2 linked regions of the Arabidopsis thaliana genome follow. The protein of the gene in region 1 interacts with the protein of each later gene in a pairwise test. Each region holds a gene or a part of one and is shown on either strand. Other genes may lie near its edges. The genes, in order: AT3G11280 and AT1G44830.

Region 1 (16,552 bases):
AGTATTTTCTTGCAACAAAATGAAACAATTGTCACAAAATAAAATAAAATAAATAAATAAACTTTCAATAAAGAGAAAAGACAATCAGTCCCTAGGAACTGAGAAAACAAGAAATCACTGTCTTAAGCGTTACAAACGCCAACATCATAAGCGTGGATTCATTGTAAACATTTTGCTTTGCTTTTTAAGATTTTGTTCTTCTTCTTAATTTCACGTTCGATTTCTCAATTAGATAAACACTCGATCTAGTGTAAAGAGCTCAATCCTATGTTGCATATATGTTCATCACATCAACGAGCACTAGATCTAGTTGGTCTTACATCACATGAACAAGCACTCGATTTGTTATATTTATTTAGATTATCTGTTGATTCGTCTTTTATGGTCACCTTGTGTTTTTTGTGCCATTAAATGTTTGTGAATATTGATTATTGTCCAAGTAAACTTGCTAACACGATTTAGTTATTTGCAATCAATTAGTTAGAATCAATGCATTCAGATGTTTTGTTGTTGTTGTTGTCGTTGTTTTTACTTATCTATACATATAGGAAGGAGTTACAATGACGAGAGAGAAAGTCATGTGGGAACCTGAACTACACAAAGTATTTGTGGATTTATGCGTTGAGCAAAAGATGTTGGGATTTCGATTACCTGGATTGAACCGTATATGGGAATCTTTTGTACAAAACACTGGCGCTAGGTTCACCAGAGACCAGCTTAAGAATCATTGGGATACCATGTTGAGACTGTGGAGGGCGTGGTGTAGACTTGTTGAATGCAGTGAGATGAAATGGGATCCCCAGACAAAGAAGTTTGGTGCGAGTACTGAAGTCTGGACCAACTATTTTAGGGTACAAAGAATGGTTTATGTTGTGTTAATATTGGTTGTTTGTTTAAAGGCTATATAATTAGTAAAACTTGATTGGATTTGTCACAGGTGAATCCTAAGGCTAAGCAGTATCGGTTTAGGTCGAGTCCTCCACCGTTTCTCAAGGACCTAAAGATGATCTTTGAAGGTACTGACTTAGGTGATGAAGAAGGTACATCATGTGGCAAAAGAAAGCGAATTCCTGATGCAGATAATGATACTGGAGATGAAGATAATGACACTGGAGATGATGATAATTACACTGGAGATGATGATATCACTATTCCGCGGTATAAAGCATATTGGTCATCGTCTTCACATGAGATTTTTGTGGATTTGTTGTTCACAGAGTCTTTAAAAGAAAACAGACCTAAGCCAGCCAGACGTAACGGATACTATGCAAAGGAAACTTGGAATATGATGGTTGAGTCGTTCAACCAGAAGACAGGACTACGCTACACAAGAAAGCAGCTCAAAAACCACTGGAATATTACCAGGGATGCTTGGAGGCGCTGGTGTCAAGCTGTTGGCTCTCCGCTGTTGAAGTGGGATGCCAACACCAAAACCTTTGGCGCTACGTCGGAGGACTGGGAAAACTACTCCAAGGTTAAAAAAACGTATTCAATGTTTTTATCAATTGGTATAATTTTGCAGCTTGGGAATAACATTGAATATGTTTTCTTTGTTTTGTCTTATAGGAAAATAAGAGAGCTGAACAATTCAGATTGAAACATATTCCTCACGCTGATAAACTAGCAATCATCTTCAAAGGACATGTAGAACCTGGAAAGACCGCTTTGCGTCCTTATCGCAAGAGAGTGAATCATCATTCCGAAGCACCACAACACCCAGCTCCTTCATCAGCACTCAACATTAACGAGTCTGTCCCAGGAAGTGAAGGTGGAGCTGATGATGACCACCACATAGTGATGGATCATCACTTCGAATCACCACATGACCCAGCTTCATCATCAGAAATCGACCTAAACGAGCCAGTCACAGGAAGTGAAGGTGGAGCTGATGATGACCACTACATAGTGTTGAATCATCTTGTCGAATCACCACATGACCGAGCTCCATCATCAGAACTCGACATCAACAAACCAGTCGCAGGAATTGAAGGTATAGCTGATGATAATGACAATCATGAGCCTACTCCGCATCACTGGGCATTTAACGGTGTTGGTGTTGAAGAGTCACAAGATGTGGAAACTGTAACTCCTGCGCCATGTGAAAGGATCAATATTGAGCTGGTGGAGAAGATTACATCAAATGCATTGGTTAAGGAGTACGAATATACCATTGGAGAATGCATGAAGTGTTTGAACGCCATGGAAGAGGTTGAGAAAGGTAGTGAACTTTACATGCTTGCGTTGGATTTGTTTATGAACAAAGAGTGCAGAGAGATGTTCTTATTGTTGGAGACCTCAACTTTGAGAATGTCTTGGCTGCTTAGACGCCTATCCGGTGGCTCTACCATGGCTGCCTAAGATCCTATTATTCTCCTAAACTTATGATTGTGTCTTATAATTATGCTTAAAACTTTTTATTTATTTTTTGAAGAAAACAATTTATGTGTTTATTGGGATTTTATGTTTATTGGTTTTATGGAAAACTCTTTTCTATATTTTTTCTTAACTATCTTTTTAGGAAAATCCTTTATTTTATATTTACATATAGCTAGGCAATATTGAATTTGTTGGAGAGTACCCTAAAATTCATTTCAATAGTGTAAGATATTAAACTGTTAGCTTATGACTTGATCACTAGAGATAGAGTGGCTACTTCTTGTTCTAGAAATCTTCTTTTCGTGCTTCTCTCTCTGCTATATTTTATTGAGACGAAGATTCGTCGCGACAAGTTCAATATAATGTAAGTGTTACAGATTTTTGGAGTTTCTTGAACAACAAGTAACCTTTGTCTACAATTTTACGCTCACGGGCAAACTAGGAACGCTTCTATAGCAAGCTCATATCTCGTGCCTTAGAGAGACGGTTCGGAGTACTATTGTAATTATTCCGAAACGTGGTGTACCTTACCCTTACCCGTTTGGTCGGCCTCTTACCTAGAAAAGAAAATCATCGTTTTCGGTGAGATTTTGAAGTTCTAGTTAGCTAGTTACTGGATCATTTAACTCATCTCTTTATTAAAGCATTCATAAGAAGCCCATATATTGTCTCACAAGAAGCCCAATGTACTGCCAACTGGCTCATATGTTTAGGGTTTTCTTGCAAGTATATGATTCATAATGTATGAGAAGTAAGGGTTTCGGAGCTTTGATTCTCTCTTCACTCTGATTTGAAACAAAGCACATAATAGTTAAGCGCGCAAATTCATTTGTATACCTAATTAAAGAAAAATCAATGTAACACGTAAACGTAGTAAAAAAACTCATAAAACTCATAATAGTTAACCTAATGAGATAATATGCCATATAAAAACAACAATTTATTTTCAAATTTCAAACGTAAATTTTTTTCGCTATATAAAAATTTCATAGCATTGAAACTAATTAATAACGTGTACGTAATATACAAAAATCAGTTGTTTTTTTTTCACTTTTTGCACATATAATAGTTTATGATCTAATTTAAAATAGTCAAATTTTGCGAGCAAATAAACTTAATTGTATACCAAATAATGATAAAAATTCATGTAATTAACCTAACTAAAATATGTATTGTGACTAATTAACCTTCAAAAATCACAATATGATATGATAGGAAGATAAATCATCTTTTTCTTGCAACTAATTGAAAGTGGTCTTACACAATAGAAAAGTTTCCCATACATGCTCTATCCAATATAAAATGGGACCTAGATCTCTAGTAACCTGAGAAAACAAATCACAATAATATGAGAAAACAAATAATAATCACAATCGCTCTTTACTAGAGGTCTGTTTACACTTACTTAGACACTATTTCGATTTCTCAATTAGACAAATAGCTATTCAGAAAATCGTTTTTATTCATGTTCAGGTGATAACAGAACACTCGATCTAGTGTAAATAACTCAACTCTAGATTGCATAAATGTTCATCACATGGATGAGCACTCGATCTAGTTGATTTTTTTTTCAGAATTTGCCTTTCAAAAATCACTTGTTATAACTTATGTGGTCTCCTGGGATGTTTTTGTATGCTTACGTTTGTGAAAATTGTCCCAAGTACATTTGCTATGAAATGATTTTTTTTTTTTTCTAATCAAAACAAATTGCAATGGTTTATGGTGGTTGTTTCATGAGTTTTAAGCCTAGTTCTAGATTTAGCCATGACATTAAATTTTCGAGACAAGTTTGGATGTATATTTTGTATAGATTTGGTTATAATTGTTTAAAGCTGTGTTTAGACACCCCTTGGAATCATAGATTGACAAAACAATTTCGTGATCCAGTAAGAGATTAATTTTAACCAATCATAGATTCAGACTTTTTTTATATTTATTTCCCCCGCTTTTTAATGGTGTTACCAATTAGAGCCTTTAATAAGAACTTACGTTTTTTTGTTGTTGTCGTCTTTACTTATCTATACATATATAGGAAATATTTATGATGACGAAATCCATGTGGGGACATGAACACCACAAAGTGTTTGTGGACTTATGCAAGGAGCAAAAGATGTTGGGAAACAAACCTGTATTGCAGCATATATTGAAACCTTTTCAACAAAAGACGGGCACGATGCTCACGAAAATCCAGCTTAAGAATCATTGGGATAAAATAGTCAGGCAGTGGAAGATATGGTGTAGACTTGTTCAATGCAGTCATATCACATATGAAATGGGATCCTCAGACAAAGACGTTTGGTGCCAGTATTCGAGACTGGGCCAACTATTTACAGGTACAAAGAATGGTTTATGTTTAGTGTTGATTTTGGTGGTTTTTTAAAAGGCTATACGTAATAAAACTTGATTGGATTTGTCACAGGTGAATCCATAGGCTAAGCAGTATCGGTTGAATCCTCCATCGTTTCTCAGGACCTAGAGTTTATCTTTGAAGGTACTTCCGGCAGCAAAAAGAAGCGAAGATGCAATCATCCTGATGAAGATACGCAAAGCGCGTCTAAAGCATATTGGTCATCGTCTTCACATGAGCTGCTTGTTGATTTGTTGTTCCAAGAGTCTTTAAAAGGAAACAGACCTATCAAAACCAGAGGTTACTCACATTATCCAAAGGAAACTTGGAATATGATGGTTGAGTCGTTAAACCAGAAGACAGGACTAGGCTACACACGAGAGCAGCATATGTAATAGTTAATATGTTGGAGAGTACCCTAAAATTGTTTTCACTAGTGTATATAAGATATTAAATTATGAATATCTATTTTTAATTTAGTAGCTTATTCTTGAGATAGAATGGCTAGTTGTTCTAGAATTCTTCTTCTTGTGGCTTCTCTCTCTGCTATATTTGACGAACATTCGTCGCTACAAGTTCAATGTAAGTATTACAGATTTTTGGAGTTTTCTTGAACAACAAGTCAACTTTCTCTACCATTTCACGCATATGGTCAAACGGAAGGCGAAACGCTTTTCTATGGCAGGCTCATATATCGTGGCTTAGAGCAACGGTTTGGGGGTACTATTGTCATTCTTCCGAAACGTTGTGTACCTTACCCGTTTCCTCCGCCTCATACCGAGAAAATCATAGTTTTCGGGGAGATTTTTGAAGCTTTAGTTTAGCTAGTTCTCTCTTTATTAAATTTAAAAGCCCAAATATTGTCTCATAAGAAGCCCAATGAAATGCCAAACTAGTTCACATGTTTAGGGTTTCCTTGTAAGTATGACTCATATAAATTCATTATAGTTAACCTAGAGAGAAATACTTTCTCTGGTTTTGGTTCATGAATCATGATATTATTAGATATCCTTTCCAAATTAATAACCAATATACAGTAACAAATACAAATAAAAATGGGAAAAATGTCGTTTTATACGTGAACTTTCAAAAAGTGGTCATTCAATACGTAAACTTTGCGATCGGCCAAATAAAACATGATAAAAACGTTGACCGCCATTTAACACAAATCAAAATGTTGACCAGGCCAAAATCCCCGAGACGTTAACTGGCATTAATGGATCCGATAACCGCCGTTAGCAGACGTTAATTATTTCTGTTAATAGCGAAAACGACGTCGTTTTATTTAAAATGAAACAACAAAATCCCCAATTCAATTTCGAAATCCCTAATTTTATCGTCATCTTCTTCCCCATGTAGCTATGCTGCTACATCTCACACTAGTGCTTCTTCTTCTCTTAACACTAGTATTCACAAAAAAGGAACCAACTGTTTTTATCTTCTTCACTTGCCAGGCTTCAAAAAACGGTGGTGCCACACGTTGTATACATACTGCACGACTTCCCATTTCTTTACTAACAAAGACGTCTTGTGGAAGTAGCTCATAATATTAATAAACATTGCTTGACGATGATGATGAAAGAATGGTGGAGAAACGTGGACTTACGACACAAAGGGATAGACATTAATGGGTTTAAAATTTATTGGGCGTTTTAGTTAGGTCCATTAAGAACCGCCGAACGTCGTGACATTGTTAGCTAGCTCGCCAAGAGCAAAATCCAGTATGTGAAACTTTCGGAGAAGAAGGGATGTCGAGAGGATCTCGATTCGTTAGGGTTCCTGGACTCTTACTTTGAAGCTTTGAAAGAAGATGGAAGAAGATGACGATAGAATTAGGGATTTCGAAATCGAATTGGGGATTTTGTTGTTTCGTTTTATGTAAAACGACGTCGTTTTCGGTATTAACAGAAATAATTAACGTCTGCTAACGGCGGTTATCGGATCCGTTAATGCCAGTTAACGTCTCGGGGATTTTGGCCTGGTCAACATTTTGATTTGTGTTAAATGGCGGTCAACGTTTTTATCATGTTTTATTTGGCCGACCTCAAAGTTCACGTATTGAATGGCCACTTTTTGAAAGTTCACGTATAAAACGACATTTTTCCCAAATAAAAATCCATGCTTAAACTTACCAAAACAAATCATGGTAATAAAGCTGTAATAAGACTCAAAATTTTGACTATCTTCTTAATTAACACTTAAAATCACACAATATGATTAAATAGAATTGAAGACAAATTCTCTTTTATTGCCACAAATTGAAACCTGTCAACACAATAAATAAAAAAGTTGCCAATAGAGATAACCGGATATAACCGGTATAAAATGAGACGCCTAGTGATCTGAGAAAACAAGGCACCGTCTCGAGCGGCACAAACGCCAAAATCCGATAACAGCGAGAAAAATCGCGATCCGGCTTTTTCAGCCACACTCTTAACAACACAACTCAGAATCGCTCTCGCCGCTGTTTTTCTGGTAAACATTTCACACCTTTGATTTCTCCATTTCATCTAGACAAATTGCGAATCTCAAAATCGTTTTTTTCTTCGTTCTTTCAATGTTAGGGCCAAATAGTACTCGATCTAGTGTACAGAGCTTAACTCTAAATTGCGTTAATTTTCATCACATGAATGATCTAATAGATTTTCAGAATTTGCCTTGCAAAAATCTTTGCTTTATTTTATTTTTTTCTGGGTCTCTCGTCTTTTGTTGTCTCCTGGTTATGAATTTGTTAGAATCTATGCATTTGGAATTGATAAGTCCTGTAATGCTTCCAATCAAAAGCAATTGTGGGATGACAAATGTGTGTTTAGTCCATACATACTTCTCAATTATGTTGTTGTTGTTTACTTATCTATTCGTATAGTGAAGAGTTATGATGCCGAAAGCTGCGTGGGAACCAGAATACCACAGAGTATTTGTGGACTTATGCGTCGAGCAAAAGATGTTAGGGAATCAACCTGGAACGCAGCATATATTGAAACCTTTTCTACAAAGAACTGGCGCTAGGTTCACCAGAAACCAGCTTAAGAATCACTGGGATACAATGATCAAGCAGTGGAAGATTTGGTGTAGACTTGTTCAATGCAGTGATATGCAATGGGATCCTCAGACTAACACTTTTGGTGCTAATGATCAAGACTGGGCCAACTATTTACATGTACAATTTATCTTCTGTGTTGATTTTGGTTGTTTCTTGAGTCTATAATAAAACTCATGATTGGATTTGTGACAGGTGAATCCTGAGGCTGGGCAGTATCGGTTGAATCCTCCATCGTTCCTCGAGAAACTTGAGCTTATCTTTGAAGATAGTAACTTAGATGATGAAGGTACTTCAGGTAGCAAAAGGAAGCGAATAGCCAAGCATCGTGATGAAGATAATGATAATACTGGAGATGAAGAAGACACGCAAAGCGCTTCTAATTTCTCGAGTCCTCAGTCGAAAGGATACTGGTCACCGTCTTCACATGAGCTGTTTGTTGATTTGTTGTTCCAAGAGGCTTTAAAAGGAAACAGACCTGACTCACATTATCCAAAGGAAACTTGGAAAATGATCCTTGAGACTATCAATCAGAATACCGGTAAAAGCTTCACCAGACCGCAACTCAAGAATCATTGGGATTGCACCAGGAAATCGTGGAAGATCTGGTGTCAAGTGATTGGTGCTCCTGTCATGAAATGGGATGCAACTTCTCGAACATTTGGTGCTACTGATGAAGACTGGAAAAACTACTTGAAGGTATAAACGCTACTCGACTTTTTATATTAGTTGATTAAGTTTGCAGCTTAACATTGGTTCTTTGATTAACAGGAGAATCATAGAGCAGCACCATTCAGAAGGAAACAACTTCCTCACGCGGATAAACTAGCAACCATCTTCAAAGGACTTATAGAACCAGGAAAAGCCTATTTCCGTTCTTATCGCAGGAGAGTGCTTGATCATCATTCCGAATCACCACAGCTACATGACCCAACTCCATTATCAACACTTTACACAAACGAGCCAGTCTCAGGTAGTGAAGGTGGAGCTGATGAAGATGACAATGATGACGATGATGAGCAGCCTACTCCGCAGCACCGGAGATTTAACAGTGTTGGTTTTGCAGAGTCTCGGTTACAAGATGTTGAAATTGTAACTCCGGGATGCCACAGGTTAAAAACTGAGCTGATGAAGGAGAGTCCAGTGAGTGCATCGGTTAGGCAGTACGAGTATACCATTGGGGAATGCATTGAGTGTTTGGACTCCATGGAAGAGGTTGAGCAAGGTAGTGATCTTTACTTGTTTGCGTTGGATTTGTTTGTGAAGAAAGAGTACAGAGAGATTTTCTTGCTGTTGAAGAACTCAAGTTTGAGAATGTCTTGGCTGCTTAGACTTCGATCTGGTGGCCTTACCATTGCTGCCTAAGATCGTCATATTCTCCCAAACTTCTTCTGCTTATGTCTTATTATGCTAAACACTCTTGATTTATCTTTTGAACAGTGTGAGATGTTATATTATTAGGTTCCTTGAAAGATTTTATGACAGTCGAAATATTATAAGAGTTACTGGTTAACTTTTGTCGCAAGAAATTACTCTTGTCTCTATTGCAGATGAGAAATAAACTTCAAAGCATTCGTATCCTATCGTCTATGACTCTATGTAGCCTTCTCTTCTTCAAAATTAACTTAAGTTAAAAAACCTTGTACAGTTTGATTAGTTGATACAACCGATATACTTTTATTTGATTTTCTCTGTTTGCAGAAAGTAATTTAAAACTTATGTGAGCATCACAAGTAAAATGGAGAGATAGTGGGATTTAATGAGCTTTAGCTATTGAATCTGTCACACTTTCTAAAAATATTTTCCACCGACGCATAGATACTAAAACCAATCATCACTTAATTCCAGGTAAGAACTTAATCCTAAACAACCTCCTTAAGGAGACAAAATTAAGATATAAAAAGAGATAAATCGCGCCAGGTAGGGGTCGAACCTACGACCTTCTGCTTAGGAAACAGACGCTCTATCCACTGAGCTACAGGCGCTTTTGATTGTAATTATCAAAACATTATATTTATAACAAAACCATACAGTATGTCTCCGTGTGGACCAGAAAAAAGGCGATAGAACAAATTTGTCGTATTCCAAAGAATTAAATAATAGAATCAAATAGATCAATCAACTTTTTTTTTCTTTCTGAGAAAAATGAACCGCAAGAATCCGAGTGGAGTGGTGCCATTCGCTGTTCTCCAATCCAAATACGCCAAATCTTCCCAAAAATAAAGAAACCTTTCCTTTTCTTTCTCTTCACTCTGTTCCCATATCTACAGTGACTCTTCTCTCTCTGTATATTACTCTTCCTTCACTATCTCTCTCTCTTTACTGGGTCTTCTTCAGCTTCTGAGTCTTCTCCTCTCTCTCTATCTCTCAAGTGGGCTTTGCTTTGCTGTTTTTGTCTTCCTTCGACGACTCACTTTTGCAGATTCTCATAAATTCTTCAAAGCTTTGAGTCTTTTTTCAGATTCGAGGGTCGGTTTTATATATGCTTCAAATCTCTTACCCAAATCAGGTTCTTGATTCCCTCAGTATACGATTCTTCATTTTTCCTTCCCTTTTGTTTTTCTTCTTCTTTGATTCCTACTATATTATCATTAAACCTTATATATAAAAGCTTCCATTATTTCCTTATATCACAAATCTATCTTTTAAGCTTCCTCCACACATAGAGCAAGAAAATGGACTTTTTTGAGCTGTGTTTGTAGTTGAAACTTATTCTTCCCTTTTTTTGTTTTTAGGTATGGAGACTCTGCATCCATTCTCTCACCTACCTATCTCTGACCACCGGTTCGTTGTTCAAGAGATGGTGAGCTTACACAGCTCGAGTAGCGGTAGCTGGACTAAAGAAGAGAACAAGATGTTCGAACGAGCTCTTGCGATATACGCTGAAGACTCGCCTGATCGCTGGTTTAAAGTTGCTTCCATGATCCCTGGAAAGACTGTTTTTGATGTTATGAAGCAATATAGTAAGCTTGAAGAAGACGTTTTCGATATTGAAGCAGGACGTGTTCCCATTCCTGGTTATCCTGCAGCTTCTTCTCCCTTGGGGTTTGACACGGACATGTGTCGTAAACGGCCTAGTGGAGCTAGAGGATCTGATCAAGATCGAAAGAAAGGAGTCCCTTGGACAGAGGAAGAACACAGGTTAAGACACTCTTTCATCTCTACAGAATTCTTTCCATATAAGTCACTCTTCCTAGGTTCCTTGCAACGCAAGTCATCCCCTTTTTTCTTAGGGTTTTCAATGCTCTGTTTCTTGTTCCTTGCAGGAGATTCTTGTTAGGCCTTCTCAAGTACGGTAAAGGAGATTGGAGAAACATATCGAGAAACTTCGTGGTGTCAAAGACGCCAACGCAAGTGGCGAGCCACGCCCAAAAGTATTACCAGAGACAGCTCTCCGGAGCCAAGGACAAACGCAGGCCAAGTATCCATGACATCACAACCGGCAATCTTCTCAATGCCAATCTCAACCGTTCCTTTTCCGATCATAGAGATATTCTCCCTGATTTAGGGTTTATCGATAAGGATGATACGGAGGAGGGAGTAATATTTATGGGTCAGAATCTCTCTTCAGAAAATCTGTTTTCTCCATCACCAACTTCATTCGAAGCTGCCATTAACTTCGCCGGAGAAAATGTCTTCAGTGCCGGAGCTTAAGGCAACATAGAATCCCCAAACTCAGCGTTCTTAAGAATCTGAGTTTTGAAACTGTAATTAGAGAAATATAAGCAAAACCAAGTTTATTATATATGTATTGTGTGGTTTAAAAGTAAGAACTTGTTTTTACTCTGTATTTTTGTGTTTCTGTCTACTAAATACCTGTTATGTTAAAAAAAATCTGTGTTTTCTTTTCGATTAAATTATAGACTTATAGTTGTGAAAAAGAGTACTTGTGCTTTATGACAAGTTGATAACCCTAACAATTTACCACAATATATCTATTTTATGGTGTTAAATGCAAATTATAAAGATATACTGTAATAAAGACTTAAAGAGATTAAAAAAAAAAAAAAGACTCAAAGAGATCAAACACCACACAAAAATGAGAAATTTGTGAAACATGTTTTGGGTTAGATTTATTTAAGAAGATGGCTATAGTATAGTTTTAAATATTGAGTAAAGTTTTGGTGGAAGGTATGAAGAATTGATTTGAGTATAAAATAGAGGCTGAGTCTGCTTTCCACTTCTGACCAAAGAACCTCATTCTTCTCATCTATTACACCAACCTCCTGACTCATATATATATTAACGTATTTAGAATTACGTATAATGGTGTCATTTGTATAAAAAACATATATGAATGAAATGTTTATTTTATTTTTTAATCATTTGGTGCCCCAATCTAAACACTGCTCACATTTGAATTATGCAACTTGAAATAACTTTGATAAATTTATATTGAAACAACTTTGAAATATTATTTATCACAGTTCATATGCAAAGTTGGACCAAAGGCTACACTTAATCAAGCAATAGTTTTATCATAGTTCATATTCAAAGAAATCGGATTTAATAGATTTCCATATCTTATTCTATATGTATTAGATGAATCTTGATCATCAATTGTGACATATGCTACTGCAATTTGCGAGTCCTATTTCGGATAAAGAAAACAAAGTAGTTTTTCCTTTCTTGCAACTTTATGGCTTTATTTCTTTTGCCACCCTTTTGTTATTTTGTCACTTTCGATCTGGTCGCTTCGATGGGATCTACATGCCTTACACTGATGTACCAATATCAAAAAACATTCAATGTTCTTACGTCATACGTGCATTACTATATACTATACAGTATACACTATTTTATGACTAAGATTTGCGATGCTGATAACTTTGAGAACAACAGGATGCAAAATTTAAAGTGAAATTACGTACAATTGTTACATCTTTTCCATAGCAAAGTTATAAGGACATATTCTAGAAAATTGTTGAATAACAATTATAAAATGATAATTGTGATAATTCTTTGTAAAACTGATGTATTTAAATATGTCAAATAATTCATCATCAAAAGTTGCATGTATTATTACGATACCGACATATACCGTGAGTACAAACATCATAAAGAAGATTGAACAATAAAATAAGAAGGAGAAACGTCGAGAAGCTTTGCGACTTAAGGCTAAATCCTTCCTAATCATGAACATATTTTATGTAAACGACAAAACTTAATTTATAATCTTTGTTCATTTTGTTATCAAGAAGAAAGAAAATGTTCTTCGAAAGTAGGCTTAAAAGCATAATGCGTAACAAAGCACGTTCATGATTTCATAATTTCAAAATTTCCGCTTATCATCATATCCTTTTCACGAAGCTTACGCCACTAGTGTGACCTTTATTTGCCTTCAACACCTCTTTATTTTTTTTGGCGGCCCTTCAATATATCTTTTATTTTTCTAGTTTTCAATTTTCATGACAAAATCTTCTTCCTTTATTCCTCTATCAATGTGAACACACGTTCACACACTTTGTTTTGATAACATTTTTATAACCCCGGACTAGATCTCTACACATCCGATGTATACGAATCTAATTTAGTGATTTTCTAAATTTTAAACTATGGTAAGTGTTATCTTCTATGACTTGATTGCCTTGAAGATCAGAATTAGGGAAACTAGAAATAAAAATCGATGAAAAAAGAATCTTTGGAGACAGAAACGACATACTAATAACAACCATTGTAGAAACAACAGTAATAGAAGATCATCGGAACGAGACCAAACCCGTTTTGTTCCCCTACAGACCCTCTTCACATGCAGCAAATGACAGAGTAACATCCGATTAAATATCTTCCCAAAGCTCGAAATTTGGCTGCATTTAACTCTCAGTGATTAAGGGTATGTCAACAGGCTTTGAGTCCTCTGCTTTTTCATGTTCCTTATTCAACAACTGAAACATAGCATCCACAGATTAACAAAACAAATTTTGCATAGAGCAAATTCAAATCAATCACCTACTAGAGAGAAATAGAGAGATGATGGTCTATCTTACCTTGTTGTTGATCAAACTGTGGAGGGCGATTACACTTCGGATAAGCGAAGAAAGGTAGATTACGAGCATCATGTCATTTGTTTTTACTGTACAAAATGAATAAAGTTAGGAAAAAAAAAAGAGTTCAAATGAGAGAAACCCTGTGCGAACATAAAACTTCAAGGAAGAAAAAGCAAACCTGCAAAGGCTTTAACCAACTCGTTGACGTTCAAGTTAGGAAGCAAGTTGAATACGTCCTACAGATTTGCAAAAGAGTATTCAATTTAGCTGAATAATCCTTACTAGCAGTCACGGATACTGAGAAAAAAACAAACACGAAAACCAGTTTGATTCTACTAGTCAACTACAATTAAAAGTGTTACCTGAAGATGGTATAAGATTTCATGGTTTAATGGGAGTTTTCCTTCGATTACAAGGTCAAGGTAAGTCCGGATCTCCCGAAGTCGTGCATCCAATCCCTTCAGAGCAGTAAGTTTCGCAGTGACCTGAAATACAGTTCACAAATAATTTCAGTTTCCTCAATATATGTTCCTCACATTTTGTTTTGAGAGCAACAATCATGATTTGAATAAACATTAAGAAGCTTGATGATGAAATGTTTAAGTTATGTGTGAAGAAAATAACCTCAGTTGCCAAGGTACTGATGGTTGTGTCTTTTACATCCCTGAGCAAATGTTCCACACCTGTTCAAGACCAACCAACTGGCGTAAGCGAAGCAAGAAGGACTCCATTGAGTTTCCTCGGAAGCATTTACAAAAAAAAAAATTCCCTCATCATTCTTATGCTCTGAAATAAGGAAATCAAACTATCAAAGGATTTGTTTCCCCATGTAGACATACCAATTTCCTCAACTTCATGAGCTGCAATTTCTGTAGGCACGTGTACAAAAACCTGTTGGCTTTTCTGGGTAGCATTCTGCAGAGAGAGAAGTTCGGATCAAGGCAATTAGATATATGGATATAACTAATGCAGAAAGTAAATCAAGTATGTCAGATGCAACTTAACAGTCGAGCAAGTAAAATGGTTAGAAAATTGGCTGGTATTTACCTCTTTCACCTCCTCAACCGCATAGTATGCTTTTGTGGGGATTCCAAGTTCTTTAGGTTGGACATCAATAATGACCAACACTGGATTTGGAACGTAGCTGCAACACCAGAAACTAAGATTAAAACCGAAGTAATACAGAAATAAGGTCTAGCAAGAGAGGAGAGATAGATTGTGAATGCTTTAAAACGTTTGTACATATATAACTTAAACAGACCACCAAACCATATATTAGATTAGACCATCATATCTCATATTTTAGACTGATTTTGGTCTTACCCATTGAATAAAGCGTGAACATCCAAATCATTCTCTCGAAGTTTAGGACCTGTGCTGTACCAACCCACAATATGCTCCTTAGCTGAAAGCAAATATGAAAATCAGTCAAAAAAGAGGCTTTCCACATATATACTCTTAAGCATTATATTTCCCGAGCAATACCATTAATTCTCTTGAACATGTGAAACATCGACTCGTGGTAGTTGTGATCAAGAAACCATATGCTTGTGTCTTTGTCATCCTCCTCAAAAGGCACTGTAAAACCACAAACAAAAAGTCAAACAAGTGATGTGCAAGTAACAACAACGCACTTATGAACATGCTCACAGTGTAATGTACTGTGCAAAATCAAATGAAATCTGTTTCATTCTCTAAGAAATTAACTCAACCACCATATTATACTCATCACTCCAATATGGAATTAGGCCACTAGGACCAAGTTTGACTGAATCCAAGTATCACACAACGATTTTAAAAGTAAGACAATTTTGCAACCCAAAAGCTAAAAAAAACTAAACTTAAGTAAATTTTCAGACAAGAACACTAAACATATTGAATTATGAGATTAGCAAGAGCTTAACAAACTTTCAGAGATCTGTGAGATCGAAGAGAACAAAGAGAAAGGAAAAAGTAAAATCAAGGCACCTGCGTAGCTGTTGGTGACGTCAACAGTACCACGAGAGCTACTTCCGAGCAAAACGCCGACGACGCGCTTGCTCGTGTCCTTGGCTACACGATTGTAATGGTCGACGATACTAAGCAAGACAAGTGGGTGAACGATCACTTTCTCGATTGTCCTTGCCGATATTTGTTGCGTCTTTATAACATCCATTGTTGGGTTAATCAAATTCGCTTGAGTAATTCTAAATTTCTTTCTCCGGGAATGATCAAAACCTCAACTTTTGATTCCGTTTTATCTCCGACGGAACTTGAGTTTGCTTCTTCTCCAGGAAAACCCCTTTAATTAATCTTCTCTAGGCACTATGGGTTTAACCAAAGTTTGGGCCTTCTCTGTATTATAAAGCCCAATTATATGGGCCTAAAAGACAATGGGTCTGGGTAAAATAATATTAAGGATATTAATCTGTTCGTTTAAAAGAGTTGGTTTTATTCTGATAAGATTGTGCAAGTTTTTTGGTCTAATGGTTGTTGATCAAGACTTAAGTATTTCGAGATGATGTAAATTTTGTAAATTGATAGAGATAAGTTTTAAGTTTGTTTTTTTAACATCTTTTAAGTTTTAAGTTTATCTGATATTTCTAGTATTTCTGTGATGCAAATAGAACTATTCGTTAATGATGTCTTTCTTAAATTATTTTTAAAAAATATAGAAAAATACATTAACAAATCACAACCTTAGTTATATGATGATATACATATACGCATTCCATAACATAGATTCTTATATCAAACAAAATGAGACAACTTTTTGATAAACCATGCATTGGAAAATATCTCATAAACCATGCATCGGATAAT
Region 2 (15,664 bases), on another chromosome or scaffold:
CATCAATTCTCTTCAACTCTCATCTCGATTCAGTCCCCGCCGAATCAGAGAAATGGACATATCCACCGTTCTCAGCTCACAAAACCATCGACGGCCACATCTACGCTCGAGGAGCGCAAGACGACAAGTGTATCGGAGTTCAATATCTAGAATCAATCAGAAACTTGAAATCGAGAGGCTTCTCACCTCTCCGTACGATTCATATCTCTTACGTTCCTGAAGAAGAGATCGGTGGATTCGACGGGATGATGAAATTCGCGGCGTCATCGGAGTTTAAGGATTTGAATTTGGGATTTGCTATGGATGAAGGACAAGCTAATCCTGGCGATGAATTTAGGGTTTTTTACGCTGATCGAGTTCCATGGCATTTTGTTATTAAAGCTGAGGGGATTCCAGGTCATGGCGCTAAGCTTTATGATAATTCAGCTATGGAGAATTTGATGAAGAGTGTTGAGTTGATTTCTAGGTTTAGAGAGTCACAGTTTGATTTTGTTAAAGCTGGTAAAGCTGCGTATTCGGAGGTTATCTCTGTGAATCCAGTTTATCTTAAAGCTGGAACTCCTACTACTACTGTGAGTTTGATGAGTTTTTGTTTTGGTGTGGAGTTGTTGTTCAAGAGAATAAGAGTGTTTGTTTTTTCTTTTGCAGGGGTTTGTGATGAATATGCAGCCTTCAGAAGCAGAAGCTGGGTATGATTTAAGGTTGCCTCCAATGGCAGATCCTGATGTTATGAAGAAAAGAATTGCTGAAGAATGGGCTCCTTCTATTAGGAACATGACCTACTCGGTAAGTAGATGTCGTTGTTTCTGTGTGTATTGCTATCTGAAATGTTAATATCAGCTAAAGTCCATACTCTATAGTCTATAGCGTTATACAGAACTGTTTTTGTAGTTTTGTTTTGTGAAGAAGCATGGCTAAATAGAGTGAAAGAGCGCATTGACCATATACTTAGATCAGAGATCGTATCAAAGTTCTTAACTTTTGCTTTCGTCATTAGTAAAATGTATGTTTGAGATTCCTTTCAGCTACTTTTATTAAGTCTCAATAGTTCCACATTAGATTCCGTTTCTGTTTTGATTATAATGTTCATTATAGTTCTTGTTATTCTACTGCCATTAATCTGTCTATTAGGGTTATAGAGAAGCTGTTCGAGCCTGGTTTTGTGAAATATGACCTTAGATAGTTGGATGAATGAAGAAGCATGGTTTGATAGACTGAAAATCCCTTGATATAACACCATTGCTAGTGATCACCTGTTGCAAGAGTTTTCGTTTTAGTCACATCCAGATGTTTTTTTTTCTTGCAACAGATACAAGAGAAAGGAAAGTTAAGAGATCATTTAGGGCGACCTATAATGACTCCAGTAAATGATTCTAATCCTTGGTGGTCTATCTTCAAGCAAGCTGTTGAAGCAATGGGAGGAAAACTCGCAAAGCCTGAAATTTTGGCTTCAACTACAGATTCACGCTTTATTCGCACTTTGGGAATTCCAACTTTTGGGTTCTCTCCAATGACCAATACGCCTATTTTATTGCATGACCATAACGAGGTATTCACATGATGATATTATCTATTGCCATCTTTGAGTCTATATATTTAATCACAGTACTGATATAAACACTTAATTGTGGCCTCAGTTCCTAAAGGATACTGTATTCATGAAAGGAATAGAAGTATATGAATCGGTTATCAGCGCTCTAAGTTCCTTTGAGGGAGAATCTGCTCAAGTGATTTGAAGCATGTATATATGCAAACAATTGTGACACACTGCTTATGGTCAAGGCTCACATTGCTATGACCAAGAAAAGTAGTAGCTGTTTCATCTGTAAGTTATTTTTATCAACACTTACTCTTGCTTTAACACCCTTAAGTGGTTGGTAATAATCCTTTGTATATATATCAGACATTTGATTTGCCTGCATAATTCTCTAACTCTGAAGAGAAAATGTCATTGGTGCTTGGAGCATGATTTCACAAAGTGTTGATCTTTTTAGCTCTCAATGTTCTAATTTTCAGGAGTTGTTGTAACATATCACTTGCATAGCATCAGAGATTATTTCATATCACTTGATTTAGTTATTGACTTTACGGCTCTGAAAATAAACAAACCATTCGTGTGGGTCTTCTCTCCCCGAGTCTCGACCCTTCCGGTCTTTGTTTTCGCAGTTGTGCAACTTATGGTTCCGGTTTAGTTTCAACTTTCTTTCAGCTATTTTGCTTTGAAGATGGTTTTAAGACAACTTGAGCTTCATTTTTCCTGGCATGCGTTGTGGTTTATTCAGATCTACTTCATCTTCTATTTACTTGTGTTGGACTAAAAATTATTGGTGATTCTGTTCATGATGGTATCTTGAGCTGGAGATAAATTCTTCCTTTGGCGGCAATTTTGTTGTGGACCTTTCTCTCGTCGTGGACTTTAGTTTCTTCTTGTAAGCCCAAATGTTAGAAGAGTTTGTGCTGTTTTTCTCGGGAAAACGGGGAAAAAGTGTATTTCTACCATTTGTGAAAAGAGAATCTCTAAAATCACATAGTACTTGATCATCTAGTTTGAAACTTAATGTCTCAAAGTCAAATAAACCTTAATGTGTCATATGAACTACCATTATAGATCTATGTTCTCTATTAGTATGTGAGTCTCATTCTCGTTCGATAGTCGGCATGCTATCCTAGGAGATTAAAAAAAAAACTTATTTACCGATCCTATAAATTATCATGAGATCTTTTTATGTGTTTTATCCTCTGTTTCATTGTACTGGAAATCAGTTTCCAATAGATCACCAATAATTCAAGCATGATAAACTCTAGAGTTTAGTCGGTAAGTGTTACGAAAACGATAAGTACACCAGGCTTGGCCCAAATAGGTAGAGAAAGAGGCAGCGGTCTAGAGGCCTAGTCACATTTTTTCCTAAAAAATCTTATGTTTCAAAGCCCATTTTAATAAAAATATTTAGACTATAGCCCAGTCTTTTAATATTTAGATCCGCTTTTAAAAAATATTAGCAAAGGTCCAACATTTTTTTGTGTATAAATTTGCTCAAAAATATGAAAATTTTAGTTTAAATATATAGTAAGACCATCTTCAATGGTTAAGGTTCTTAACCTTGCATCTTAACAATTATTAAAATTAAAATTTTGGAACATGACACATAATTGTATTTATCACTCATAAAAAACTTTAAGCTAAGAAGTGAATTTTAGTTTTTAATCTGTTTTGAATTATTTTTCAGAATTTAATTCTAAGATATTAGCCTAAGATACACCTAAGATATACCATTGGAGGTGCTCTAAGGATCCAAAAAAGAAAGATTACCCTAAAACTCTAATTATTGTTGAGTCGAGGCTACTTAGTGACATAGGTAAACAAATCAATTTCCTTAAGCGCTTTTCATGTACAACTACAGTATAACCTCTATAAATTAATACTCGATAAATTAATAATCTCTATAAATTAATAAATTCTTCCGGTTCCGAGTTGGGACCAGTGTAAAAAGTAACACAAATCGATAAATTAATAAGATAATAATTTTTTTTAAAGTCTTATGTAAATATATGGTCCCATCAATATTATAAATTAATAATTGCATAAATATATCAATTATATATATACATTATATGTAAGAAATTTCTTTGAAACATATTTCTAATATTGTTTTGCTTAAATTTGTATTTATTCTTATTTGAAATTTAATTCTAATATGTTACTGTATCAAAAACTTTTACTGTTGTTTTCTATACATGATATTATTTTTAACTTGTAATTGATTCTACAAAGATATTTTCTAGAAAAAAGAATCTTATAGAAATGTTTTAAAAGTTACTAAATTAGGAAAGTCTCTCTATAAAATTTATTAATTTATCGATAAATTAAAACCTCTCTAAATTAATAAAATTTTACAATCCCAACATTATTAATTTATAGAGGTTTTACTGTATATTTCTAAAAATCAAGGTATATATTACCATCACCCTTACCAATCAAGCACAATGTCCTTGTTGCGTATCAGGGCCGTCATTTTCGATGGTGGGAGGTCACATGACTCCACACTCATCTAGGTTCAACTTTGATACCATTTATAGCGCCTCGAGTACCATTATCTAGGCCTTCATATCCACTCTCAACCTAAGGACCCTAACATCAAGTGATAGCTAGTGCACACCTATCATTTCTATAACTCATGGACCCCAAAAGCAATATTTTTTGTACCTCGTCCTAAAAAATATTTAGAGCTAAATTAAGCGTGTTTGAACTAAAATCATTGTTTTCAATGCATTGAAAAAAGGATTCAAAGATGAACGCACGACGAGATATCCCAACAAATTACAGATGTGGAAATGGGCTATTTAAACATTAGGACAAAGCTTTTGCCAAGATCGGACATCATTTGAAGACGTCAATGATGTCCATATGTTGTTCTAAGATAGGCTTCTTGACCATATGTTGATTCACAAACGCACTCAAATAGATTTAGACGATTGACTCTATATCTAACTAGGCAATATTAATCTCCTGCAGTGAACTTTGATGTAGCTCCTACAATTTGGAGCCAAGGTGGGAAAAACGAACCAGGCTTGAATCAATTTTACAGTATCAAAGAAAAAATATGTAAATTTTGGAGTATTGTCTCCTACTGAATTCACTCAACAACCACAACTAAAATCTTGAAATCTCTATTGTCATAAATCTTTTCTGCTTCTAGGAAATTTCTCAATCTAATGAAATCAAAAACAAAGGATTTGATTCTGTTCTGTCACAATCCACACATGTGCATTTGCCTCTACACCATCCAACACACTCTTCAATCCTAATGAGAAACTTCTCCGTACGTTCCTCTTAAGTTTCCACCACACGAATTTATTTCCACTCTGGCTTAACTCGTTACCATTAAATGTTTCTTTCTAATTTATTTCTTGTAACCACAAAACTTTGTTAAATATTTCTTGTAAGAAAAATATTGATTGATTGATAAGAAAGGTACGGAAGGTCATATATTGAGTACGGTGCCAGGTAAGATTGTCCAAACTACGAATAGGATATTTTTAGTGCAAAAGTACATGCATTATGCATGAATCTTCATTTATGATTCTATTTGTCTATTTCCTCAGGTAGGGTTCGCTCACTATTCTTCGTTAGGTAGCTAGCTTAATTGCTTTAGCTTCTCGGATTTTACCCGATCCGATCACTCAAGCTTTATGACACAATGTAACTCATCTTCTTCTTGTTCTTACACAGTTACACGTATAGCTTCAGACTGTCGAGCTCTAGACACTAAAACAATCAACAAAGAATGTGATTGGGTGAATATGGTGACATTGTGGTGAAAAGAAAATATTTATTGGTAAATAAAAATAAATGTAAAATAGTGAATTAGTTAAATGGTATGAAATGGAGATATCTTTCGGTGAATGAGAATGTTATAGTTGTTTTTAGAAAATAGCAAAGTCATATTGGTAAAATATTGAGAGAAAATGTAAAATGTTTTTTTTCCGTAAATGACTTTGAAAAGTATAATTTATTTGATAAGCTTGGATATACAAATATTTTAACCCGCTAAATAATATAGATATATCCAAAAACATAGATAACATGATTATATGACAAAAACATAAATATGTTTTATAAATTAGATGTCTACATAACGAAAATAATGTAGTAGAGGAAATGTGTTCTACAAGTTGTAGATATAAGAGCCAAAACATATAAAAACTTCATTTTGATAAATTAGATGTGCACATAGAATACTAATGTTAAAGAATTCGTCACGTAAGATTTAGTTATAACTATTATTTTTCTTAAAAGAAAGTAAAATAGTCAAAATTTGAATCATTCTCTTTAGATGGAATTAATTTGATTATTTATTCAAATACCACGTTTGTAATTACAGTCATTGAGTGCAAATATTAATATAAAAATGGTAGAACATTGTTGGTTTTGTTTTATCATAAACTTTTGTAAAATGTTGCCTGCATTTTCCAACGAACAATTCTGTTGATTCGTTTCTTGATATGAATAAAAAACCTTCATTATTGTTATATTATAGTACCCCAAAAGAGAAAAAAGAAATAGAGTCGTCTGGCTAGAACGTGAACACGAATAGATTAGTTTAGTAGTACTCTTACGCGTCTTAATTTAATTCTAGTGCCGACTAAATATAACCGCAGATTAGTTTAGTTAATAAACAGTGCAAGACTATTATGAGGTTTGACGATTTTACTTTAGTTTATTTAGTTAGTAGTACAATATTATTTAATATTACAATGCAGTTTGACAAAAGAATCTGAATTTAATTAATTTAGTAAAAGCCTTTTTACAGAGAGAATTTTACGTGTGACAAGGAGACACAAAGAGCTAGTTAACGCGGTTTTAAAAGTCCCATTAAGACAGAAGAGCACCAGCTCTTGTGCATTACCTTGGTAAACATGACTTCAGCTACTTTAACGTTTAAGATTCTGAATTATGTTTAGGCCTTTTAACCAAAAAAAAAAACTTGTAATTTTTGTATTATATATATATATATATATATATCTATAATCATGCATGTGATTTCATTTTGCATCTCATTTATCAAAATAATTCGATAGTTAAATTATTCTTATGATTAACTTTGTCTTTTGTTTGTACCTTAAAAAATCACATGCTCTTAGCTCCTAGAAGTTGCCTCTAAAAATAGAATCCAATGTTTCCTCTTATAATGTTTTATAACTTTCTGTCGTATCTTGATATTAATATTCTCATATGAGTACTGATTTTTGTTATTTACATTTTTATTCAAGATTCTGAGGCTCAAGAAGTAGTAACTTTTAGTTGTAAACAATAGTGTACTTTTGTGGAACTAAAGAATTAGCTTGGAGCCTTGGAGGTCAAATCAATAAATATGCATTTTTGAAAATAAAAAATAGGGATTCTCTTATTAGTGATCTGTGATTGGGTGTAGCATATGGGATTGTGATTAAGGAAAATCTTTTTTATAAATAAATTAAAAACACCTGTCTCTTACATTATTTAAAAGAAAAGTATTAATCTCTTTGTGTGTGCCCCATGCTACTTTCTTTGACTATGTTCATAGTATTTTTTTTTCTTTTGAGTTCTTTATGTTTCTCTTTCCATTTTTGTTCTCTATAAATAGAAACACACCATTCTTCTCCTCCAACTTCCTCCCTTAATTAGTATCAAAAATGGTGAAAACACTTCAAAAGACACCAAAGAGAATGTCATCTCCATCATCATCATCTTCATCATCCTCATCAACATCATCATCATCCATAAGGATGAAGAAGTACAAGGGAGTGAGAATGAGAAGTTGGGGTTCATGGGTTTCAGAGATCAGAGCTCCTAATCAAAAGACAAGGATCTGGCTTGGTTCTTACTCAACTGCTGAAGCCGCGGCTAGAGCCTACGACGCAGCACTCCTATGTCTTAAAGGATCCTCAGCTAATAATCTCAACTTCCCAGAGATCTCAACTTCTCTCTACCATATTATCAACAATGGTGATAACAACAATGACATGTCCCCTAAGTCTATACAAAGAGTAGCAGCTGCAGCTGCTGCTGCCAACACAGATCCTTCCTCATCATCAGTCTCTACTTCATCTCCATTGCTTTCCTCTCCATCTGAAGATCTCTATGATGTTGTCTCCATGTCACAGTATGACCAACAAGTCTCCTTGTCTGAATCATCATCATGGTACAACTGCTTTGATGGTGATGATCAGTTCATGTTCATTAATGGAGTCTCCGCGCCGTATTTGACAACATCACTTTCTGATGATTTCTTTGAGGAAGGAGATATCAGATTATGGAACTTCTGCTGATTCTACTTTCATTATACCTTATTCTTTGTTTCAATATATATACTTGAGTTATGTAACTTATACAATGTGTTATACATTTTTTTCTTCCCTTTTCTATCAATTCTCACAATGTATGGAACATTTGGGGATCTTTGTACCAATATCTAAATTATTTTTGAAATTAGATATTTTTCATGTTAAGAGTTCACTAAATCTAGTAGTAGTGGTTAAGTATGGAAATAGATTTATAGCTTTTGAACAAAGAACTTCGAATGATAACAAGTTAAAAGGTAAAAACGAAAAAGTACAGAATCATATTGTTGTTGATTAAATTCTGAAACCTAAAAGTTAAGAGTTAGTGTTGAAAACAATCATTTCAGATTTTATAGTATGAATGCAAAATTTGGCGTTACTGACTTTAACACTAACACTGTTTGATGTAAATGTGTACATGATACAAAATAAGTGGTGGTAAGATGACTATGCGATATAAGTACTGTATATATGATTTTTCTTTATTAAGGATATAAAAGTATTAGCTAATGAGTTAAACAGAAAGCAGATTTTTCATGTGAAAAGTTTTGCAAAGTCAAAGAGTAAGAAGCAAGTTTCATGAGGCTTGTCATAGAAGGCGATGATTAATCCTACTTAATTATTGTTGAATAGAGTAAGTGTATAAATATTATTTATTTAGAAGAAAGATAAGGAAAAAGAGAGAAGAGACAAGAGATGCAGAATGGTTTTGTGTGGTGACTGGTTAGAATTGGTAAAACCAAAGAGAAAGAGTTAACGTACGTGGAAAACTGTGTACGTTTGTGCTTAGATATCGTAAAAAAATTGACATCCATTTTACTCCAACATTGGTCTGAAGAAAAATCTAACAGTAGATTTGAGCAGAAAGCCACATGAGTTGTTTTGGTTTCTTGTTATGTGTGTGTTCTTTGTGAGATGGGGTCCCATGATTCACTCTCTTACCCTTGCTCCTCAGAAACTCCATCTCTATTTTTTTAGGTATGATTTGTTTTTCTTTAGATAAGTTCCCCCCCCCCCCCCTCAAATATACATTAATACCATTGGTGATACAAAACCATACAAGTTTGTTATAGGTAAAAGAAGGTATAAGCAATATCGGAATAGTTAAAGGCGGTGAAAATTAACTTTGAAAATAAAGACTAAGAATGATGCTTTTGGTAAAACTTTTGTGATTGGTAATTACTTTTAAGACTCCGATTGGTGATAAACAAAAGAAACGATAGGAATATGAATGAAAAATAACAAAAAGAAACAAGAAAAAAAGAAAAATGGTCATAAGTAGGAACCAAGAGGAACATAGGAATTGAACAAAATGATTATGGTAAATGGTAACCAGAAAGGTGAATTAATATTTAACATAATAATTACTAAAAAATTATTTATTGAATTTTGTTTATTAATTTCTTTTAAAATTAAAGTTTTGTATAAATTTAAAATAAATTATATTATAAATTTCTCTTCAAAACATTTATTTATTTTATAGTAAAAAATTCACTTTAAAACATTTATTTATACTAATTTAAAATAAATTCATAACATTCATTAAATTGAAAGTTTGATAAAAAACAATTTATATATCAATATATACTAAATATATGGAAAATTTTATATATATAATTATAAATATTATCATAAAAGCTATTTTAAATTTATTTAATAAATAAAAACGAATTTTATTTTTTTTGTTTCTCTTGGTTCCTCTACAATTTTGGAGTGGAACAATTTTGTTCTACCATTCTTTTTTTTTAGGAATGATAAGAAAAAATGTAGGACCCATATGTCTGAAAATGAAACAAATATACCTTGCAAATGATAAAAAAAAAACTGAGGAACAAAGATGAACACGACTTTCGTACTCATTTTTTTCCTCAAAAATGGTTAATAATCGGAGCCTAAGACATTTATTTTTGTAATCCACTTGTAGGGCCATTTATGGGAAAATCTTACAACTAAACATGTTTGATACAAAATAATCAAAGGATTGTCTATTATTCTGCTGAATTTGTTGTTTTCAATACACATGTGAGTCATGCAAAATCAAGTGGTAAAGAGTAACTGTCAGTCAAACCAAACCTTCGAGATCTCCATATGAACGTTTGTATTGCCAGAATAAAACGTTTTTAAGGTATTTTGTTTAATTATAAACGTGATTATGTTGACAAAAAAACGATGACAAAGTCACTCTACCAATTCAATTTTTTTTTTTGTCTCACGTTAAATAAGATATTAAAATGAAAGATGACAGTTTTCTGTGTTTGATTATTGAACGTTCAAAAACAGTGAAATGAGTAGGATCAAAATGATAATGAACAATGTTGATTGCTGAATAATGTGTTCGAGTATCTTTATTTTTCCTTTTTTTAGGGAGGTTTTGGGGAAAACCTGTAATTCTCTAGACCCAAAAACAAAATATATAATATTAGTTTTGTCCCTATCGTCATTCGAACCGGTGACCTTAAGTTTTGTCTAGCATCTTTACTAATTGAGCTAATGAGACTTGGTTAATTATCTTTCTAATTTTATTTTTATTTTTGTTTTTTGCAAAATCTTTGACCCATTAACAAAAGAAATTGATAGATACTAGTATACTCAACTAATGCCATAAAAAAAAAATCATTGCAATTTGTATATATACAAACAAGTTGTAAATTGACCATGCCTATATGTTTTCTTTGCCGTCATTTGATTGTCTTCGAGCAGATAAATATCACTGAAAAAAACTTACTAAAAATACTGTAATTAGAAATTTGGGTCTGAGTTTCTGACATGGGCTTGTGGTTATAGTTGGTCCCATGAAAAGTGCCTTACATTCATTTTTCTTTCACCTTTCACATGACATATTCTCCGGATCGAGACGAGTTTTTTCTTTTCAGGGGATATCTTAATGATCTCCCAAAACACATAACATGGCATTATTTTTCTCAATGATTTATGTTTAAAAGTTTTAGAGAACATTCATAGAACAATATTTATAATTTTGATTCGGAAAAGGAAAACCAAACACTTTTTGGTGTTATGTAGCTAAATACAAAAGACAAAGAAACTTGGTGTTGCTAAATCACTAGGCAGTATTTGAAATAGATCCAACATTGGTCGTGAAATCATGATCTCAATTATATGTTTATGTTGTCTCATTATAACGAATATTAAATCGTGTAATGTTAATTGATTTGTCATTTGTCAATTATACTAAGATTGCGATTTCACGATGGCTAGACAATCCATTATACGCCTATTTTAGTTATTGTAAGTATTTTATGGTTCCAATATGCGAACCGGGGGTTGTTAATTGTTTAACATACTCGGACTAATGAACTCTATAAATTCTTTTTTCCTATACTAATTACTTTAGCGGTTTAGCCTAGTAAATACATACACGAACTTTTCAAAATGACCATAAGCTAAATGCTACTAGTCTATCTCATTATCGACTTAGCAGGAGAAAGCAATCTTAATTTTCCTCTCTTCCTGTTTGTTTCTCATAATTAGGGTTTCGTTTTGCGGACACTTTACCTCTAAAATGGCTTATAGCATCTCCAACCCTACTCTATTTTAGAGTCAAAATGCAAAATTCTTCTCCAACCCTACTCTATAATTGACTCAAAAATAGAGATTTCTACAGATTGACTCTATATATAGAACAACTCTATCCTCAACTCTATTTTTGAGTTCAATTTTTTTATTTATACTTTAGTCCCTCAAATTTAAACTTTTTTTATTTAATGCATATAATCATTTTACAAACAACAATTACAACACATAGTTTTATAAACTTAACAAACAAACAAATACTAATTTTAATAGTTTTATAAACTTAACAAGAAGCAAACAAGTACTAAATTTAAAATAAACAACATAAAAAACTAAAACAAATATTCTAATGGTGTTAACCGTGTTATTTATAATAAATATTCTAATGGTGTTAATTAAAATAAAATTTGTAATGTTTTATTATTTTTATATGATGTAATGATTTTTAATAAATAATAAGTGTTTAATTTAAATAATTTCATATTTTATACGAATTTTGCAAATCTATAATATATGGGGTCAAATTTTAAATTATATAATTAAAAAGTATTAGTATATAAAATAGAAATAGAATATTTCTAAGAATATTCTTTTTTAGAGTAGAAAATAGAGATATACATTGGAGAAAAACTCATCTCTAAAATTGAGTTACTCTATTTTAGAACAAGATATAGAGCTATACATTGGAGATGGTCTTAATACATAGTCAAAATTGATTACTTATTTGATGAAAAAATATGGATTTCTTATTTTATTTTCTCATACCAGTGATTGTTTTGTTGTATTGGGGCTGAAAAGTGTTCTTTCAGCACATCAGAGAAAAAAGTTAAGAATAGTGTGTTAAGCAGTAACCATACTCTTTAAAGCCGTAGATTAATTATTCAAGAAATTAAAACAACTAATTAAACAAAAATCCTAGCAAAATCTATTTGAATGAACCATATCCAAATCCACAAAGTCAGTCCCCCAAATGTTGAAACACGTAAATTAAACACACAACAACAAAAATATAATTAATTAAACATAACTAATGATTTTTATAATTTACACAAAAATCAATCAATATTTTTTTAACTATTTTATATTCATTTCTAACTACTTTTATATTTATATGTTATTAGAAAATATTAATATATATATATTTTTTATCAACCACACATATATTAAAATATAACTCTATGATCGGCTGCCCAATTTAGAGGAGAAGAGTTTACAAAAATAACATCAGACAACAATAAACGAGAAAAACAGGTTAAACAATATGCTTTAGAATTACATAAACGGTAAAAATAAGAAATCGAACCAAGCGTCGTTAGCTCAATTGGTAAAGACCCTAGACGAACCTTAGAGGTCGCCGATTCGAGTGACGTTTGGGACGAAACTAATATTACATGCTGTGGTTTCGGGTCTGAGAGATTACGGGATTCGGTCCAGAACCTCCTAATATTTATAAAAAAAAAAATTTTTAAAATAAGAAATTAAAGCTCGGAACATTCAAACTCGTCTAATAGGTTGGAGAAAGCTGGTCAATCATCAGGCGAATACGCCACCGAGACTAAACTCTACACAATCAGTTTCAAATATCTACAATCAATCCTTCTTGTAAAGATATTTTTCGTAGCCCAAATTTATGATGACTTTTTTTTATTTGTGGTGCACCATTTATGACAACTTAAAACAGTTTAATTTTAAATTAAAAATTTGTATTTTCTTATGACCTGTGGTTATATGTTGGGCCTTTTAGGCATTTGCAAGTTAAGTATGGTCGTGGATTGAAAAGCCCAATGTGTAATCCTCTAGTTTACTAAGAAGGTTTAATGTTTTTCAATCCAGTACTGCAAAATCTGCAAAACCTAAACTTTCGTCTTCTCAACAAAATCTGCAGTTCCTTGCTCCTTTCTCAGTCCAAATTCTCTGATTTTTGATTTTTTCGATTCAATGGGTTTCACCAAAGATCAGTTGCTTGATCGACTTCAGGTTTCCATTTTCACCTTTAAACTCAATTACATCATTTTCATTTCGCATTGCTTTTGTTGGAATTTGTCAGATAAGATTAGATAAATCATTAGCAGAGAACGGAAAATGTTACTTCGTTTTATGCTTGATTCTATTTGAAGAAGTTATGTGTATTAATGGATTTGGATGTGTATCTATGGATTCCAAGTTATGTGTATAGTCGTCTTGAACTCAGAAGTTTTTCAATGTCTACTTTTAGATTCTAACCCTTAGGTCAAGAATTTTGGTGTTACACGTTTTGTTAGTGTCAATGTTAAAAAAATGTGGCAATGTGAATTGATGATTAAGGATTTGTATCTATCTTTCAGGAACTTGAGATTGATTATTCCAAGTATGAACATCCGCCTGTACTAACCGTCGAAGAACAGGTGAATATACCTTAAAATGTTTTAGATTTTTAAAACTTAAGTGTATGATGTTTAAAGATGGATTTATAAGGCTTTGTTTTGTGTATTTAAATCTTCAGGCCAAGTATGTTAGCAGTAGTAAGGGTGCACTGAGTAAGAATCTCTTCTTGAAGGTAGTCTTTCAAAGCGGTACACCATTAAAGGCATTATCAAGTTAGAGTATTAGTTGATTGTTAATGGTGCATATGCCTCTATTTTGTTTTTGCAGGACAAGAAACATCGGTATTATATTGTTTCAGCGATGGTGGATACGAAAGTTGACATGAAAGGTAACATATGTTTTCTCCTTTTTTCGTTTGTGGATATTGGCATAGAAGAAGTCTCTGGGCTTTGTGAAGTTTGAATGTTTTTTTTTTTGGATGTTAATGTGTGTTCCCTGTGACTTCTAATTTAAACAGTTTTATCTCAGAGACTTGGTCTTGGAAAAGGAGGGATTAGAATGGCTCCAGAAGAAGCACTTGGTGAGCTTTTGCAGGTATTTTTCATAGTCTTTTCCTCTGCTACTGTGTTTTGTTATATATATCTGGAAAGAGTTTTATTAAATGATTGTGCTGTAACATGGGAACCATGGTAGCGATAGTTTTTTTGACAATTGATAAGAAAAGTTTCTCCAAACCAAATTGCTTTAAATGATCTATTTATGCATGGTGATATGTTTGTTTTGCTTATCGCAGTTTACAACAAATCCACACGAATATATTGAACTTATTGTCATTCATGTTTACAATTTTTGACACTCGTGCTACTCTCTTTTTTCGTTAAAGGTATCCCTCGGATGTGTTACCCCGTTTGCAGTTGTAAATGAATCAGCAAGGTATTGTTTGCCTTACGGTATTGGTTCATATGGTGTTTTCCCTTCCAAGTTCCTAATTATTTCCATTGACTGACATTCTTTATTAAAACTTTCCATGTTAAAGAGACGTGTCTCTCTTGTTAGACCAAAAATTCAAGAACCAAACGCGTTGCATCTTCCACCCATTGTCTAACGATGTCTCAGTCTGTAAGTTCTTTCATTACAGACTTTTCTTTTATGGTTCAAAATAGTTCATAACATCAGATTTTAGCTTATATCTAATTTGGTTGGTTCCTATCATTTCCAGCTCTGAACACATTGGGTCTGGACAAGTTTCTGAAGTCGATTGGGAGAGATCCCGTATACGTTGACCTTGAGGCAAATACTCTAAACCTTTAACTTGAGAACTCATGTTCCACAGTTCCTTTCCTCAGGGTTAACCTTTTGAACCTTTTGCTGTTTCAGGCTAACCCGGTAGTTGGTAAAGACCAGGCTCCAGATCTAGCTGTTTGTGTTCCGTCTAATTCAGTTATTGTTCCCGAGATTCCTAATCAAACATCTTCTACACAAATTCCTCTTCCAAAAAGTGTGTCAGCAGAGGTCAAGCCTGTGGCTTCAGGTATGCCTGATTTATCAGTTTCTTAACCATGCGCTCCAAGTCTTGTTAAACCGTGAAGGATTGGTTTATATAACTCGGTTTTCTTCAACGGTGCAGCCAAAACGAGCAAGCCAGCTTGTAAGGTGAAGAGCGTCGCTGAAAATTCAGCTCCATCAGCTTACAAGAACCCGGAGAAATTTGTGCAGGAGATTTTGGACAAAACTTCGGCTCTATTATTGTCCGAGGTAGTAAACTCAATCCCGAAACTAAAGTCGATTTCGTAACATTTATAGATCAACTCTGAACCGGTTTTATATACAGGCTAAGGGAGAGTGCGTGGAGGCTTTGGCAGAAACACTAAGAAAACGACTTACCTCAGAGTTGACCCACCTCTCTGTGAGTACATTTCGATATACATGGTTCGCATCGGGTAAGACTAAGCCGTTTGTACTAATCTTGGTTCTATGTAAATTGATTGCAGATTATGTACAAGAACTC

What was found.
Region 2: the proteins of AT3G11280 (region 1) and AT1G44830 interact in a two-hybrid assay, tested with the Arabidopsis thaliana proteins (one large-scale study listed by BioGRID).

What each region holds. Positions count from the first base shown.
Region 1 is NC_003074.8:3,528,342-3,544,893, reverse strand, and holds AT3G11280 (Duplicated homeodomain-like superfamily protein), read left to right. Parts: upstream 1-9,899; 5' UTR 9,900-10,272; exon of another isoform or gene 10,273-10,498; 5' UTR 10,499-10,500; coding exon 10,501-10,904; intron 10,905-11,029; coding exon 11,030-11,417; 3' UTR 11,418-11,683; downstream 11,684-16,552. Other genes in the region: AT3G11310 (Myb/SANT-like DNA-binding domain protein), read left to right, coding at 561-851, 938-1,474, 1,567-2,358; AT3G11300 (uncharacterized protein), read left to right, coding at 4,421-4,504, 4,593-4,709, 4,846-5,023, 5,219-5,305, 5,387-5,547; AT3G11290 (Myb/SANT-like DNA-binding domain protein), read left to right, coding at 7,599-7,883, 7,959-8,462, 8,535-9,128; MEE34 (Mov34/MPN/PAD-1 family protein), read right to left, coding at 13,577-13,648, 13,751-13,836, 13,929-13,986, 14,113-14,235, 14,375-14,433, 14,590-14,665, 14,798-14,894, 15,074-15,155 and 2 more.
Region 2 is NC_003070.9:16,926,619-16,942,282, forward strand, and holds AT1G44830 (Integrase-type DNA-binding superfamily protein), read left to right. Parts: upstream 1-7,080; 5' UTR 7,081-7,173; coding exon 7,174-7,809; 3' UTR 7,810-7,950; downstream 7,951-15,664. Other genes in the region: AT1G44820 (Peptidase M20/M25/M40 family protein), read left to right, coding at 1-572, 649-786, 1,310-1,549, 1,638-1,736; AT1G44835 (YbaK/aminoacyl-tRNA synthetase-associated domain-containing protein), read left to right, coding at 13,291-13,329, 13,677-13,736, 13,835-13,888, 13,984-14,044, 14,174-14,250, 14,540-14,589, 14,693-14,775, 14,876-14,946 and 4 more.